Notamacropus eugenii: one gene and its partner. The protein of the gene in region 1 interacts with the protein of each later gene in a biochemical or structural test. Links are inferred from orthologs where the notes say so. Each region holds a gene or a part of one and is shown in the gene's direction. Other genes may lie near its edges.

Region 1 (7,216 bases):
AATGGTGTCCTCACTAAATGCTAGGCACACTTGAAGAATTGAGAGACCTCGGTATGTACCATCCTTTTCCTCCCACTCATCCACCCATCCATCCATCCATCCATCCATATATACACATACATACAGTCACATCATTCCCCTGCCCCAACCCAAGGTTCCTAATAGATTAAATTTGGGTGCTGTATGTGTGGCAGAGGAAAGTATATGGAAGAAATGTAAAAGCAGAGAATGGGTCCACTCAGGATGTTTGGTCCCCTGACTCAGTTTATTTTTTGTCCCTTAGGAAAGATGGAAAAAAGTAGGCTCAGAATTAGAAATGAAGAGTGAAAGAAGAAAGAGAAAAGTGATTTTTTTCAGAGAAAAGCCTGGTTTGGGGTCAGAGAGACTAGAACAGGGAAAGTGAGCATTATGGAGAGGAAGGGTCTTCCTTCTTTACCCTCTCTTCTTACTGCTTCACCAAGGAATAAGCAGGGTAGAAGCTGGAGAGGAGATGGACTGGATAGCATTCTGTCTCCCCCCCAATCTTCCCCAGCTATACTTACAACCCCCTCCCCAGCCACACACACACACATACATACACACACACAGACAGACACACACACACACACACACACACACATACACACATGTCTGAGTTACTGAAGCCCCCAAGGAACAGGGTCCTGTCCTGATCAACAAACTCTTCCTTTCTAGCTCTCTCTAGGTTGGTCCTGTTTTCTCTCCTTTCTTTCTTCTGTTTCTTTTTCTCTCAAGTTGTAGCCAACTTTTCTTCACCACCACCACCACCACCACCAGAGGTAAGCTCATCTCCTGATAGAGATCCCAGTACAGGAACAAAAACCCTGAAACCAAGACACATACTAGGAAGCCCAGAACTCAAGGATATTTTGGTTCTAGAGCAGAGTGGAAACCCTGGGAAGCAGGATTTGAGGGTTTCTCCCTCCTCTCCTCATCACCTCCATTTCTCAGGTCTTGGTGCTCCTTCCATAGATGACCCCAATTCTCTATTCCTCATCTACTAATGGGGTTCCAAGATCTTTCTGTAAGCGTGTAAAGATCCCATCAATAATGTTCAGAGCAGAAGAGTGGGGAAAAGTCAGGGGTTGTGTGAGGGGAAAGGTATTTCCATCCTTACAAATCTCTGTATCCTTTTGGGTATATTAAACTGCTATTTGCATGGGCTAAGAAAGAGACCATTCAACATGGAGGTAAGAGGATGGGGAAAAAATGGACCTAGACTGGAACTCTATGCACTGTGAATGACTACCTGGAAAATGGTAGACAAGGAGATTTCCCTCAGAAATCCTCACTCAGGTGAAAGTCACTAAGAAATCAACTTACATGGAACTAATATCCCTCAGTGTCTCCCCACTAATCCTTGGCCCTCTCCCCCAGAGTATCCCCACATCCTTTCTCCTCAGAGTGATCTTTTTCACCATCTATTCACTCCTTTTTTTTCCTCCCCTTTCTACTGGGTCTCTCAACCAACTGTTTCCTGAAATAGAGAACCCTAAGGGCCCATAAGGATAAAGATATCTTTGAACGGCCTCTTGACCATCACCAGGTTAGGGGGGAGAAAACATTATCCCTTCCCCATCTCCTGGCACAAATCCTTTAATTTCCCCTTACAGAGATGAGGTAGAACCAACCCAGAGATACATCCATTCCTACTTTCCTGAGGAACGGGGAAGACAGAACCTCAGGAAAAGGCGCTGAAAGGGAAAGGATTCTATGGCCAAGGGAGAGAGAAAAACCATAAAATTATAGATCTTGGGTCACAAAAGGACCTCAAGACATCATGCCTTTTTACACGTAGGGCACTGTCTTGCAATTAAAGATGAGACAACAGAGAGTCAGAGGGTTTCAATGACGTAGGCAAGCTCATATAGGCAGTTACTGGTAGAGAGAAAAGCAGATCCTAGGTCTTTTGCCTGATGACACCCTGAAGGGGGCAAGGGCAGAAGACCCTTCCAGGGGAAGTCAAGAGAGAGAGAGAGAAAGAGAGAAGTAGTCAGGTTTAGCTTGGGGACAGGTTAAGGGAAAGAGGGGGCAAATCTACAAAGTAAGAGACATTCCCCCTACCCCTCCCTTAAAGGGACTCAGGAGTGACTGTTCTTCATTCACTTTGCTTTTACACAATTTCCGGCCAGAGCCCAAAGTAGGGGGCCAGAGGTTTGGGGTTCCGGTGTCGAAATGGCATCAAGAACAGAACACAAACACCCCACCCACTTGGCCCCAGGACACATGGGGATTCATCCTATGACTACACCCAGACTGAACTCAAGTAGGCATTTCTCCAGGGTCAGGCCCATGCACACTGTGGCCTGGTGGAGGGAGGTTGGGAGGGAGGCAATGATATTGGGACAAGTAATTGGAGGAGATCAGTGAGGGTAGGGAATTAGGGAGAAAAGAAAACACTGGATGGAGAGTCACGGGGTCAGTTTTTAAATCCAATGTCTGTCCATTGTTAACTGCATGAACTTGAGTCTAAGTTGTCTCTAGTCAATAGCTTCCTCCGCTATAGTAGGAGAGGGATGACGTGTCTAAGGCCCCTTCAGATAGAAATCTACAATTCCATGATGCAGGGGATAGAGGACACCAGAAGAGTAGAGAGAGTCAATAGGGGAAGAAGGTAAAGGGCCACTGGAATGATCCTCATGTTTCTGGGCATTATTCTCCTACTTTTTTAATATTACTAGTAAACCTTAATAATACCTTATACATACATAAGATCCTTCCTGGTTCTCACTAAATTGGGTTACTGAATACTACTCTTTGAGTTTATCTGTCTAATTAAAAGGTAGAGTCTATGTTAATTAACCTGGTTGATTAGGAATGTCAGCTTCTGAGGCCATACATACTGCCGAGATCATTAGATCATTTCTTTCTTCAGGTATTATTGAGGGTTTCTACTATGCTGAAGGATTGCTAATAAAAGTGAGTTTGCCCTCCATTCTCCTAGCCACTAGGTCTCTAACTCTAAATGATGAAGAGATCCCTATTGATGTCTCCCTCAAACCCCTTCTGCTCAAATTTCTTCTTATCTCTTTTTGCTTGAGTCTTATTGAGAAACCCAATGAAGATGATGGCTGTCTTGACAGCTTTTAGAGGTTAGGACAATTTTTTTCTCCCACTGACTCCCAACGACCTCTCCTCAAATCTCCTCACCATGTCCTACCTCTCCCATCAGAGAAAGGATGAGGAGGAAAAGGATGTGGGCTGGAGAGAAGAGGGCTGAGTTGGCTAGAGAAAAGCAGATTGGGAACGGGGATAAGGGTAATGATCCCCATGTCTCCAAAAAAGATTCCTCAGTGGATGGAACCACTGGAAATACCATAGGGAAGAATGTATTGAGGTTAAATAATAAGAACTTCTGAATAAGCAGAGTTGGGAAATGAAAGAATGAAGAAGGAAAACTGGAGACAGATTTGCTTCGAAAAGATCTCAGTTTAAAAAGAAACTTGTTTGTATGGGCTGAGGAATGGATAAAATGACCTCTTTGGGCCCACAGGCATAGAGGTTATGCCTAGAATATGCCTATCTTCCTTTTCCTACTCTGCTCTTTGCCCTAGGGCTGATAACTTCTTATCTCCCCCAGCCAGGAGGAGCCTAGGGTGGGGAAATAGGAGAGGGTTATCGAGGACCAGGCCTGGGGTTGAGGTAGTTGCCTCTTTCCAAGGCACTACCCCCTTAAGAATCTCATGGTTCTTACATGTCCTAGGAAGAAAAAAATTAAGATTCAGGAAAAGAGAGGCAAGATGGGGGAGAGAAATAAATAAATTCCTGATGTTGTCCCAGAGAAAAAACCCTAGATTCCTGGCTCCTTCCCCTGACTATGGAGGTGGCTTGAGGATGTGAGGAGGAATGGAAGAGAAAAGGTCTTTAGTCTAGGGAAGGTCAGGGACCTGCTACTGCCTCTCCAGGGACAAAAAATTTATTTTACAAGGGGAAGGTGGATTCTGTGATACTAAGGACTCATAAAAGGAGGTGGTCAAATGAGGGAAGTCTTTTCCCCTTAGAGGATCTCTCAGGAGTCAGAGAGTTGGTAGGCGTGAAATGCCCCTTCCCACCTACGCTGATGGAGGTACAGAATACACTCTGGTAGGGGAGATCCTCACCCTCTCACTTCATCATTTCAGGTTGCTTGGGTGACCTCGGCCGGGGGGGAGCCTTCCCTGGCTCCTGGCCTGGTAGGATGCCCCCGTGTCCTCCACAGCAGAGCAGGAACCGGGCTCCGCTACTCGCTGCCCCAGAGCTGGGAGAGATGGAGCTGACCTGGCAGGAAATTATGTCTATCACAGAGCTGCAGGTGAGAAGGGGAGGCTGGGCAGCAGGGATGGTCAGGGGTCTAAGGAGAAGGGCTAGGAAATGCAGATGCCTTAGCAGGAGTAGGCCTGAATGGGAGATCAGGTGAAAATCAGCCATGCCCAAGGCAGGAGGTGGGGATGGGGGAGGGCTTTGGGCTAGGTAAACAAGGGAGGAGGTACTAAAGGGGGGGTGGGGACAGAAAGGGGGTACCTGTGGGTGGTGAGGGAAACCTAGGCTCTCTCCACTGCTTTCTTTCCTCTCACTTTTCTTGCTTGCCCACCTCCTTTCCCCTTCTTTCTCTTTCCCGTCGCTATCCCCCTTCCTTTTCTGCTGCCTTACTTAATCCCCCTCCCCATACCTTCTTACTTCCTACATCATCTCACCTCCTTAACCTCTCCCTACTTAATCTCGCCTTACCCCTCTTCTCACCGGTGCCCCTCCCCCCAGGTAACCGAGTCTGGGGCCTTTAAGGGAGGACGATGCAGGGGTCCCCTCCTCCTGCTGGTCAGACAAAGGGGTATCTGTTGAACAGAACAATGACTTCTTTGTCCCTGGTTGGGTAGGGATCTGGGGTGGCCGCTGGCCATGGGCTGGGGGCAGTTCTCATAGCAAGATGACTGCATCCCTGCTTGGACTGACTGGCAGATGGGAGAGAGAAAGATGGAAGCAAGGGCAGGAAGAAATTGCCCCAATCCTCCAGTCTTGGATTGCCCCAGGGCTCTTCACCTCCAATTCTTTGCCCCTTTCTGACTCTCCTCATCTCCCCACCCCCCAGTATTATCCCCTTTTCCAGACCTATTTTTCTTTTCCTCAGTTCTGGCCCCCTCCTCCCCCCTCCCCCAATATATCCCACTCTTCTACATGCCCCATTCTTCTGTCACTTTCCCTTCTAGCTCACTAAAATGCCTCCCCACCCCCATCTCCCTAAATTCTAGGTTTCTAAACCCAGATGATAATCCAATTTTATAATGTCCTGACCCACTCCTGCTCTCACATCTTACAAAAATAACTGCACTATAGATTCAGGGGTCCCTCATGGGATCACAAGAACTCCTCTGTCTCAGACCACCTCTACCAGACTGCCTTCCACTCAGCAATTGTCCTAGCCAATTGGCAGAATTGTCCCAAAAGAATTTGGCCATAGGAGAGGTTTGACATCCATCCCCCTGTCTCTACACAGAAAGCTTCGTAGGATTATAGAATCATAGATCTAGACTTGGAAAAGACCTCTAGTCCAACCTACTAATTTTACAGATAAAGAAAATGAAACCCAGTGAGGCTGACTTGACCAAGGCCACACGAACAGACATGTTATGAAACTAGGTCTTCTGATTCCAGAGACAGTACTCTTTGTATCGTAATGTACTACTCTACTTCCATCTTAGAACAATGAGGATCTCTTTTAAATTTTAAAACCTTCCCCCAAAAGATTCTACAAACTAAATGTTTTGGGTAACCCTTCCATATTAAACTCAGTATTTTCTGTAATTGACAACACCAACAATGTAGCTAGCATTTTAGTAGTGCATTTAGATTTGAAAAGTGCTTTACAAATATTACCTCAGTTCATCCTCACAATAACCCTGGAAGACAGGTGCTAATATTATCCCCATTTTACAAGTGAGAAAACTAAGGCAAATAGAGGCTAAGTGACTTGCCCAGGGTACACAGCAAGGCAGTATCCAGTCAGGTCTTCCAGACCCAGGGTTCAATCTACTGCGCCACCTAGCTGCCTCTTTATTTGCATTTTTGTCTAAGGATTCAGGGATTCTTCTTATCTTTTATTTGGGTCAAGGACTCTTTTGGCCATGTGGCGAAGCCTGTGAAACCCTCCTGAGAATCATGTTTTTTAAATACATAAAATAAAATATCTATAGCATTGCAAAGGAAATCAATTGTAAAGAAATAAAATTTATCCAAATTTTTATTTAAAAAAGAAGTTCTTGGACCCCAGGTTTAAGAACCCCTGCTGTAGTCAGAACTCAGTGAATAGGCCATATTTTCTGTCCCGTCCTATGTGCTATCTATGACCCCCAACTTCTTGCCTTTAGACTTTATCTTTTCAGATCCTTCAATCAGTCATTCAGTCAACAAACATTTGTTAAGTATTTACTGTGTGCCAGCCATTGTGCTAAATGGTGGAAATACAAAGAAAGGCCAAAAAAAATTCTAAAAAATTAGACCCTCCCCTCTAGGAGCCCACAGTCTGAAAGAAGAAACAACATGCAGAGAGAAGATATATGCAAGACAAAATGGAGATTATCACAGAGGGACAGCACTAACATTTAGCAGGGTTGGGAAAGGCTTTTTGTTGGTGGGATTTTAACTGGGACTTGAAGGAGGCAGGAGACAGAAACAAGGAAGGAATGAATTCCTTGGGGTCAGGGGGTGGGGGTGGGGGTGGTACTGGAAGGGGTTTGGGTCAATAATGAAAATATATGGAATTGGGAGATGAAAGTGTTTTGTTGGAAAAACAACAAAGAGAAGAGTGTCACTGAATAACAGTATACGAAAGGCAGCGAGTTGTAAGAAGAACGGAACGGGGGAAGGTTCAGGTTATGAAGGGCCTTAAAAGTCATAGGAGTTCATAATGAATCCTGGAGGTGATAGGCAGTCACTAGAGTTGATTGAATGGGGTGGTGGGGTAGGCCCAGTATGTTTAAGGAAAATCAGTTTGATGGGTGAGGGGAAGGACTAGAGTGGGGAGAGACTTGAAGCATAAAGACCAACAGCAGGCAGTTGTAATAATCCAGGTAGGAAGTGATGAGAGCCTACATGAAGATGGTAAGAGAAGGGGGCATATGGGGAGATGTTACAAAAGTAAAATCGATTAGGACAGATTGGTTTAGGAGTGTGTGTGTTGGGTGGCGAATGCAAATTGAGAAAGGAAGATAAGCCACCCAAGCCT
Region 2 (6,846 bases), on another chromosome or scaffold:
AAGTTTTTATGCCTCTTCAGGCCCACTAAGAATAGACAGACAATCTCTTGGGAGAGGCATCAGATATTATGCTAAGATACAGAAGCAAAGACAGTCCTTACTTTTAAGAAGATGACATTATAGTGGGAAAGACAATACACATAGAGGAATGAAAGACACTTTATTACAGAAAATTACAGGGACAGAAAATTCCCCATAGAGTAATGGACTGACACACCCCATCCAGGAACATTTATCATATTTCATAGTTCCAGAATTGGAGAGTGAGAGATGAGAAGGAAATGCTACCTGTGCATTCAGCTTGACAAGAAGAAGAAAGTGGAGGAGGAGTGAAGTGAATCACGGCTGGGACTTTCCTGAAATAATGGTCCCAGTGAGCCAATTACCAGTCAGGTAAACAGGGCTCAAGGCAGAAGTTCCTCCAGGGCATGCTCTCTGGTCAGGTTAGCAAGAAAACTGTCAGAGGGGGCTATGAAGGAAGTGGTCAGAGAGAAGGGAGGGAGGTGAAGCATGGCTGGGGCTTTCCTGAAAGAGTGGTCTAGGAGAGGTAGTCATCAACCAGGAGATTGGACCCTATTGCTACACTTCTAATAACTGTTAAGACAGTAATACTGATTTTTATTTAATGTCTTCAAGCCTACGAAACTAGGGAGTTTGAGAGCGAGGAGATAATGCTTTTATAGGTAAAGAAACAAGTCAAGTCAAGGAAAGGTACATTTTAAAGTACTTACTATGTTCCATGCTGGGTACACAGAGGGAAAAAACAGACCCCAATATGAAGGAGTTCACAGTTTAATGAGAGAGATAACCTGCAAATAACTATGCATAATGTCTATTTCAACTTATAAATATATGATATAATATCAATTTAAATTATTATAAATATTATGCATAATAGTATATTACATATCATGTATTATATGTAATATTATGGAAATATCTTCTACATCTTCTATAATATATGAATTATATCAAAATATCATTATAAATATCAATTTATATATACAGAATAAATTGGAGAGAATCTTAGAAGGAAGTTACTAACTAACATTAAGAGGGGTTTCTTGAAGAAGGTTCTATTTTAGCTGAGACTTGAAAGAAGTCAGGGAAGCCAGAAAGCAGAGATGAGAAAGCATAGGATTCCAAGCATAGGCGACAGCCAGTGAAAGTGCACAAAGTTGGGAGATGGCATGTCTTGTACAAGGAATAGCAACGAGACCACTGGAACATGGGGTGAAATAAAGTGCAATAAGACTGAAAAGGTAGGAAGGGGCCAGATTATAGAGGGCTTTAAAAATCAGAGTATTTTATATTTGATCCCAGAAGTGATCAGGAATCCCTGGAGTTTATTGGAAGGGAGGTGGCATCGTCAGATATGCTTTAGAAAGATCATTTTGGTAGCTGAGAAGAGGATGGACTAGAGTGGGGAGAGACTTGAGGCAGGGAGATCAACCAGCAAGCAATAGCAATTGTCCAGGCTTGAGATAATGAGGGCCTGACCAGGGTCATGGCAGTGTCAGAAGAAACAAAGAGAAATTATTAAGATAAAATCAAAAGACCTTGACAACAGATTGGATTTTGGTAGGGAGTGGAGTAAAACAGAATGAAGAATTATGAGCCTGGATTACTATGAAAATGATGGTCCCTTTGATAGGAATTGTCAGGTTAGAAAGTAGGGAAGATTAAAGGGAAAAGATAACAAATTTAGTTTTGGACATATTGAGTTAAGATTATAAGATGTCTAGTTCCTTATTCCTAACAGGCAGTCCAGGGGGTGATACTAGAAGTCTGGATAGAGGTCAGGGTCAGATAAATCTGAGAATCATCTACATAGATATGAAAATCCAATCCAGTTCTGATGAATTTATGAGATCAACAAGTGAAATCGTATGGGGGGAGGGGGAGAAGAGAACGTGGCTGAGATCCTTAGAGGACACCCAAGGTTAGTGGTAGTGACCTGGATGAAGATCCTGAAAGACGAACTAAGAAGTCACACCAGTAGAAGAATAACCAGGAAAGAAGAGGGTCACAGAAACCTGTATAGAAGAGAGGCCCTAGGAAAAGAGGGTGATTAACAGCCTCAAAGCTTGCAGAGAGACCAAGAAGGAAAAGGATTTTGAAAAGGCCATTAAATTTGGCAATTAAAAGGTCATTGGTAGCCTTGGAGAGAGCAATTTCAATTGATTGAGGTTAGAAGCCAGACTTCAGAGAGTTAAGAAGAAAGTGAAAGGAAAGGAAAGTAGAGGTACCAGTTATATGTAAATGGATTTCTTAAGGAGTTTAGCCACAAAAGAGAAAAGAGACATAGGATGATAGCTAGTGGAAATGGACTGATCAAATGAGGGTTTTTTGACCAAGGCTCTGTTGTGGGCAATATGGAAGTAGTCAGTAGACAGGGAGAGATTAAAGACTGGTGAGAAGATAGGGATGATAGGGCAATCAACTGGAGAAGATGGGATGGACTGGAGATTCACTTGCGCATGCAGAGGTCCTTGGCAAGGAGAAGAGGAACCTCTTCATGACAGATGGCGAGAAGAGATAGTAGAAAGTGACTGATGTGATATGAGGAAGAGGTAAGAAGAGGGAGTTCTCAGTGAGTAACCTCAACTTTTTTCCAGTGAAATATGAGACAAGGTTCTCAGCTGATTGTTGGGGGTTAGGGAGAGCCATGGGAAGCTTGAGGAGGGATACCAAGTTTTAGAAAAGCCACTGTGGTGAGCGGGCTAGTGAATCAGTTTAGGGAGGTATACGAGCATTGCCTTGGTGTAGGGAGAGCCCAGTTGTGATTACACAACAAATGTAGAGTCGGCGTCCAGGCAGCACAGTTTATGATTTTCTCCAGTTTAACTGAGCTGCACAGGAATACAACAGTGGGAGCAATCCAAGGCTTGGCAGGGCAAGATCTTCAAGAAGAGATAATTCGGAATTGAGCTGGTTCACCAAGGTGTGAAAGCGGAGGAGACGGTAGTCAGCATGGGAAGGAACTAGAAGTTGCAGTAAGCGGGTCCTAAGGCAGAGCGCAAAGAGGGAGGACAAAGATAATGACCGGATAATTTCAGCATTCCTAAACACGGAGGTAAGAACACTGGCGGGTGATGGCAAGATCTAGCTTACAACCACATGTGTGTGCAGAAGTAAGTCGTGGGAGGTGAGCGGGGTGCAGAACTGGGCAGTGAGAGTATCCGAAGTCCCCTAGTGCAAACAGGGCAGGAGAAGAGAGGGGAAGAGAAGGGGAGAGAAAACACTGCGCCAGGTACCGAACTCATGGTGATACCGATGGCCATAAAGCTGGATGAGGATGAAGTGGCCCTTACCAGAAAAGAGATTACCAGTGAGGGTGAGGGTGGTGGAGGGAAAGCTTGGGAGCAGCCACGGGACGCATGAGTGTTCCGGGGCGGCCATCGAGACCGGCAAGGTTTCTCTGATTCTTATAACCCACAGATAACTAGTTAAGAAATCATGTCTTCTTCTATTCACGTATGAGGCCAAACCTTGATTACCTTAGGATTTGGGACGAGAGGACGATAATGAAACACAGGGCTGAGAGACAGGTTTGATGTTTGTTCAGGTCCTGAGCTACACGAGGAAGCGCAGTCTCTACGCCCTGTTAAACTATACACAGGGTGTCCCAAAAGTCTTGGGGCAGCTTTTAAGCCCCCAAAGACGCCGTGCGGGTGCGCCAGGCCGGAAGACTCGCGGCGGGTCTGGGAGTCTGCACCGGGCCCAGCCCGACGTCCTGCCAGTGCGCCGGCAAGCACTGAACCCTCCCCCTGCGCCAGCGCCGGCCCAAGAACCCCAAGTGAGACCCGACTCTGCTGCGCCCGGAGAGCTCAGGGTGCCTTGGGGGAGGCCCCCTTCACCCAACACATGGGGCAGGAAGGCCTTCGAGGCCTGGCGGGGCGGGAAAGGAGGAAGCGTCTGGTGAAAGGAAGAACCGCGTTGGGTTGCAAGGAGGGAGGAAAACTCGGGGCGGAGGAGGACGGTAAGTCACGGCTGTGAAAGAAGCGGGGGGGAGGGGGGGGCCCTTTCGGAGTGCGCAGGCGCAGTGGCCTCAGCCGGGGTTTCTTCCCCTCCCCTCCCCCGCCCTCTTTCTTTTCCGCTCTCCGCGCCCCCGCCCCCCTCCATCCCCATCTCGTTCTCTCCTTCCCCTTTAAGCTCCCGGCTGGTCGCGTCGCCGCTTCATGAATGGAGCCCACGTGACCAAACATCATGTGACGTCTGTGGAACGGCGGCGGCTGTGGCGGCTGTAGATCCGCGAGCCTGGTCCCGTCCCGGCCTCAAGCCTTGTCCGGTCCGGTCCGGTCCGCCGCGGTCCGGACCCGCGCAGCGCCGTGCGGCGCCGCCCCACCCCGCCCCGCCCGGCCTCCGCGCAGCCCCGGCCCGGCGTCGCCGCCCAGCCCGCCGTCCCGTCCCGGGTCCTGAGTCTCCGCCCGCCCGGGCTCGGCCTCCCTCCCTCCCTCCTCCCCTGCCCCCCGCCCGCCCGGTCCGGGCCTCGGCCCCGCTGTGTGGTGAGTACCGCGCGGGCTGGAGGGCGGGCCCGGGCCCGGGGCTGCGGGCGGGCGGGGCGGGCGGGGAAGTGGCCGGGGCACCCTGGCCGTCTGGCCGGCCCTGCCGCCGGGGTGGAGTCGGGCGGGGCGACCCGGGAGCCGCCCTCGGGGCCCCGGGGGTGGGGGCAAAGCTGTACCCGCGGGCGTCAAGTCCAGCCGCGTCGCGCCCGCCTACGGAGCCCAGTCCCCGTGCCTTGGTTTCCCCTTGGAGCCCAGTTGGGTGTCTCGGTGGTTCTCGATGATGGGGGGCGGGAGGAGTCCGATTTGCACAGTCTTTGGGGGGACCGGGGTGTGCAGACCCACCTAAGCCCTGTCTGGGGGTGTTAATGTACGTGAGTAAATGCCCGGAGGTGCGGTTCGACCGGGATGACCTCCCCCGACCCTGCTGGGCCGGGAGCGGTGAGTCCCACGCTTGTTGGTGGGGAAGGCCACAGCACGGTGTGGTTGCGGAGAGCTCTGACCGAACAAAGCTGCTGATTCATCAGGTGTCTGTGTCAGCATCTTCCCGTGTGCTGGGGCCTTTCGAAGAAACCGGAGGAAAGACGACTGGGCGGGTGGGAAGGGAGGAAGGGGAGGTAGAGACCACCCGGCTGTGCCCCCCTTCCCGCAGCTGATGCCGGAGCCCTTGGCAAAGACTTGCTGACTCATCAGCATGAGGTCACTGGAGGCTCATCCTCGTGCCCGAGGGGATATGAAGGAGCGGGTGACAGCCCTCACTGAGTAAATTTGGAGGGAAAAAAGTGAAACGGGTGTAAGGACAGCCTAAAGGTATTGTTATTGAGGACCGGGCTACTTAAGTTTTAATTGGCATCCCAGAATGCTAAAGCTGGAAAGAATCTTAGAGATCATCTGGTCCAACCCCTAAATTTTGCTGGTGTGAGGAAGGCTGAAATGTGTCATGTTAAAAGTTCCCTCAGGGAGTAAAAGACCGGATTCTAGAGCCTTGAGTACATACTCTCCCACCCCAACAGCTTGTGGGGGACAGCACTTTACTCTTCCTTTTTTAGTTACCAGAACTAGTCCCAGGTCAAGGACACTTCCTGAAACTGTTCAGTAGTTCAGGGACACATCTGGAAGGCAGAGGACCTTGTCCACATGACTAGTGCAGCAGATCAGACTGGGTAGCTGTGAAGGAAGGAGTTGTGGGGAGAAGAGGATGTATGTGTAGAGTATATGGGGGGCAAAGATGACAAAGGCGGGAGAAAGCTGGTTTCCAAGGACACTTCAAATATTCTGGGAAATGGCAAATGAAGGAAGCAGGACTTTCTGGCAAGGCTGGGTGTGCCTAAGGTGCACAAGTTTTCAGTCTATAGTCTCTGACTTGAGACCTGGATTGAGGAAAGTGGGTGGTCTGGAGCATAGAGGCTTATGCTAGAGCAAAGAGCTATGTGGCCAGGGGCAGGAAGGAGCCCATGAACCTTCAGCTTAACTCTGTAAGGGAGTACTTCCTGACTAGGGTTTATGAGGCTAATATTTGTAGAATGGTGGTATATGGGTGAGAAAAAGGTGCTGACTTCTTTAGAGCCAAGTGTTCAGTTATTTGGAGGATTGAGTATCTTAAAGGATTAGCATTGTTTATAATAGACTCAGGAGGTTATTTCCTGCACATCAATGGGTTGATAGTAGGAACACACATGTACACTCTGACCTAGGTTGTCTGGCCAGAGGTCACCAGGTCCTCTGACCCCACCCCAAGCAAAGACTACTAACCCACTGACATTGGTGTGTGAAATTCTGCCACCAGAGATTTAATACTTTGACTCAAGGCATTTTCCGTCTGTTAAAATACATATATCCTTAGGAGGGATAACACTTTAAATTTAATCAATCATTTCTATTTTAGTGTAAGTTAGTTTATTATATACCTCCCTGGGCTTAGATTTTGACCAGAAGAAAGCCCCTTGGGGATGCTGGGAACCCAGTGGGGAGTAACACAGAAAAGAAGATAAGAGTGGCAGGAGTGTGTGTGTGTGTGTGAGAGAGAGAGAGAGACAGAGTGAAGATGTACAAAAGGAGCTGGTGGTGCTGAAGTTTTCGAAAACTTGTTGGTTGTACTGGTCACATGGTTTTGGAAATTAAAGAGGAATTAGATCTTGACTGAGGCTTTGACCCTTTAAGTGGTGAACAAAGGGCTGACAGTTGCCTGACCTAATTTCAGCTGGGGTCCCACTGGGTGGGAGGGACAGTTGATGTTGATAGGGACTAGATTGGCTTTTGGACCTTTCCTTTGCTTTGAACAGTACCTTAAACAAGGTAAGTGTTGTTTTTTTGCTTGAATTTGTTAAATAAGTGAAAGTCA

Evidence for each region. The genes of interacting proteins can lie anywhere in the genome.
Region 2: the proteins of NFE2 (region 1) and MAFG form a complex in vitro, tested with the Homo sapiens proteins (2 studies listed by BioGRID and IntAct, with this or other methods). The link is inferred for Notamacropus eugenii from reciprocal best matches to the Homo sapiens genes NFE2 and MAFG.

What each region holds. Positions count from the first base shown.
Region 1 is NC_092874.1:227,422,200-227,429,415, reverse strand, and holds the start of NFE2 (transcription factor NF-E2 45 kDa subunit), read left to right. Parts: upstream 1-4,195; coding exon 4,196-4,309; intron 4,310-7,216. UniProt on the Homo sapiens protein: Component of the NF-E2 complex essential for regulating erythroid and megakaryocytic maturation and differentiation. Binds to the hypersensitive site 2 (HS2) of the beta-globin control region (LCR).
Region 2 is NC_092873.1:326,073,871-326,080,716, reverse strand, and holds the start of MAFG (transcription factor MafG), read left to right. Parts: upstream 1-3,835; 5' UTR 3,836-3,982; intron 3,983-4,155; 5' UTR 4,156-4,508; intron 4,509-4,662; exon of another isoform or gene 4,663-5,315; intron 5,316-6,846. UniProt on the Homo sapiens protein: Since they lack a putative transactivation domain, the small Mafs behave as transcriptional repressors when they dimerize among themselves.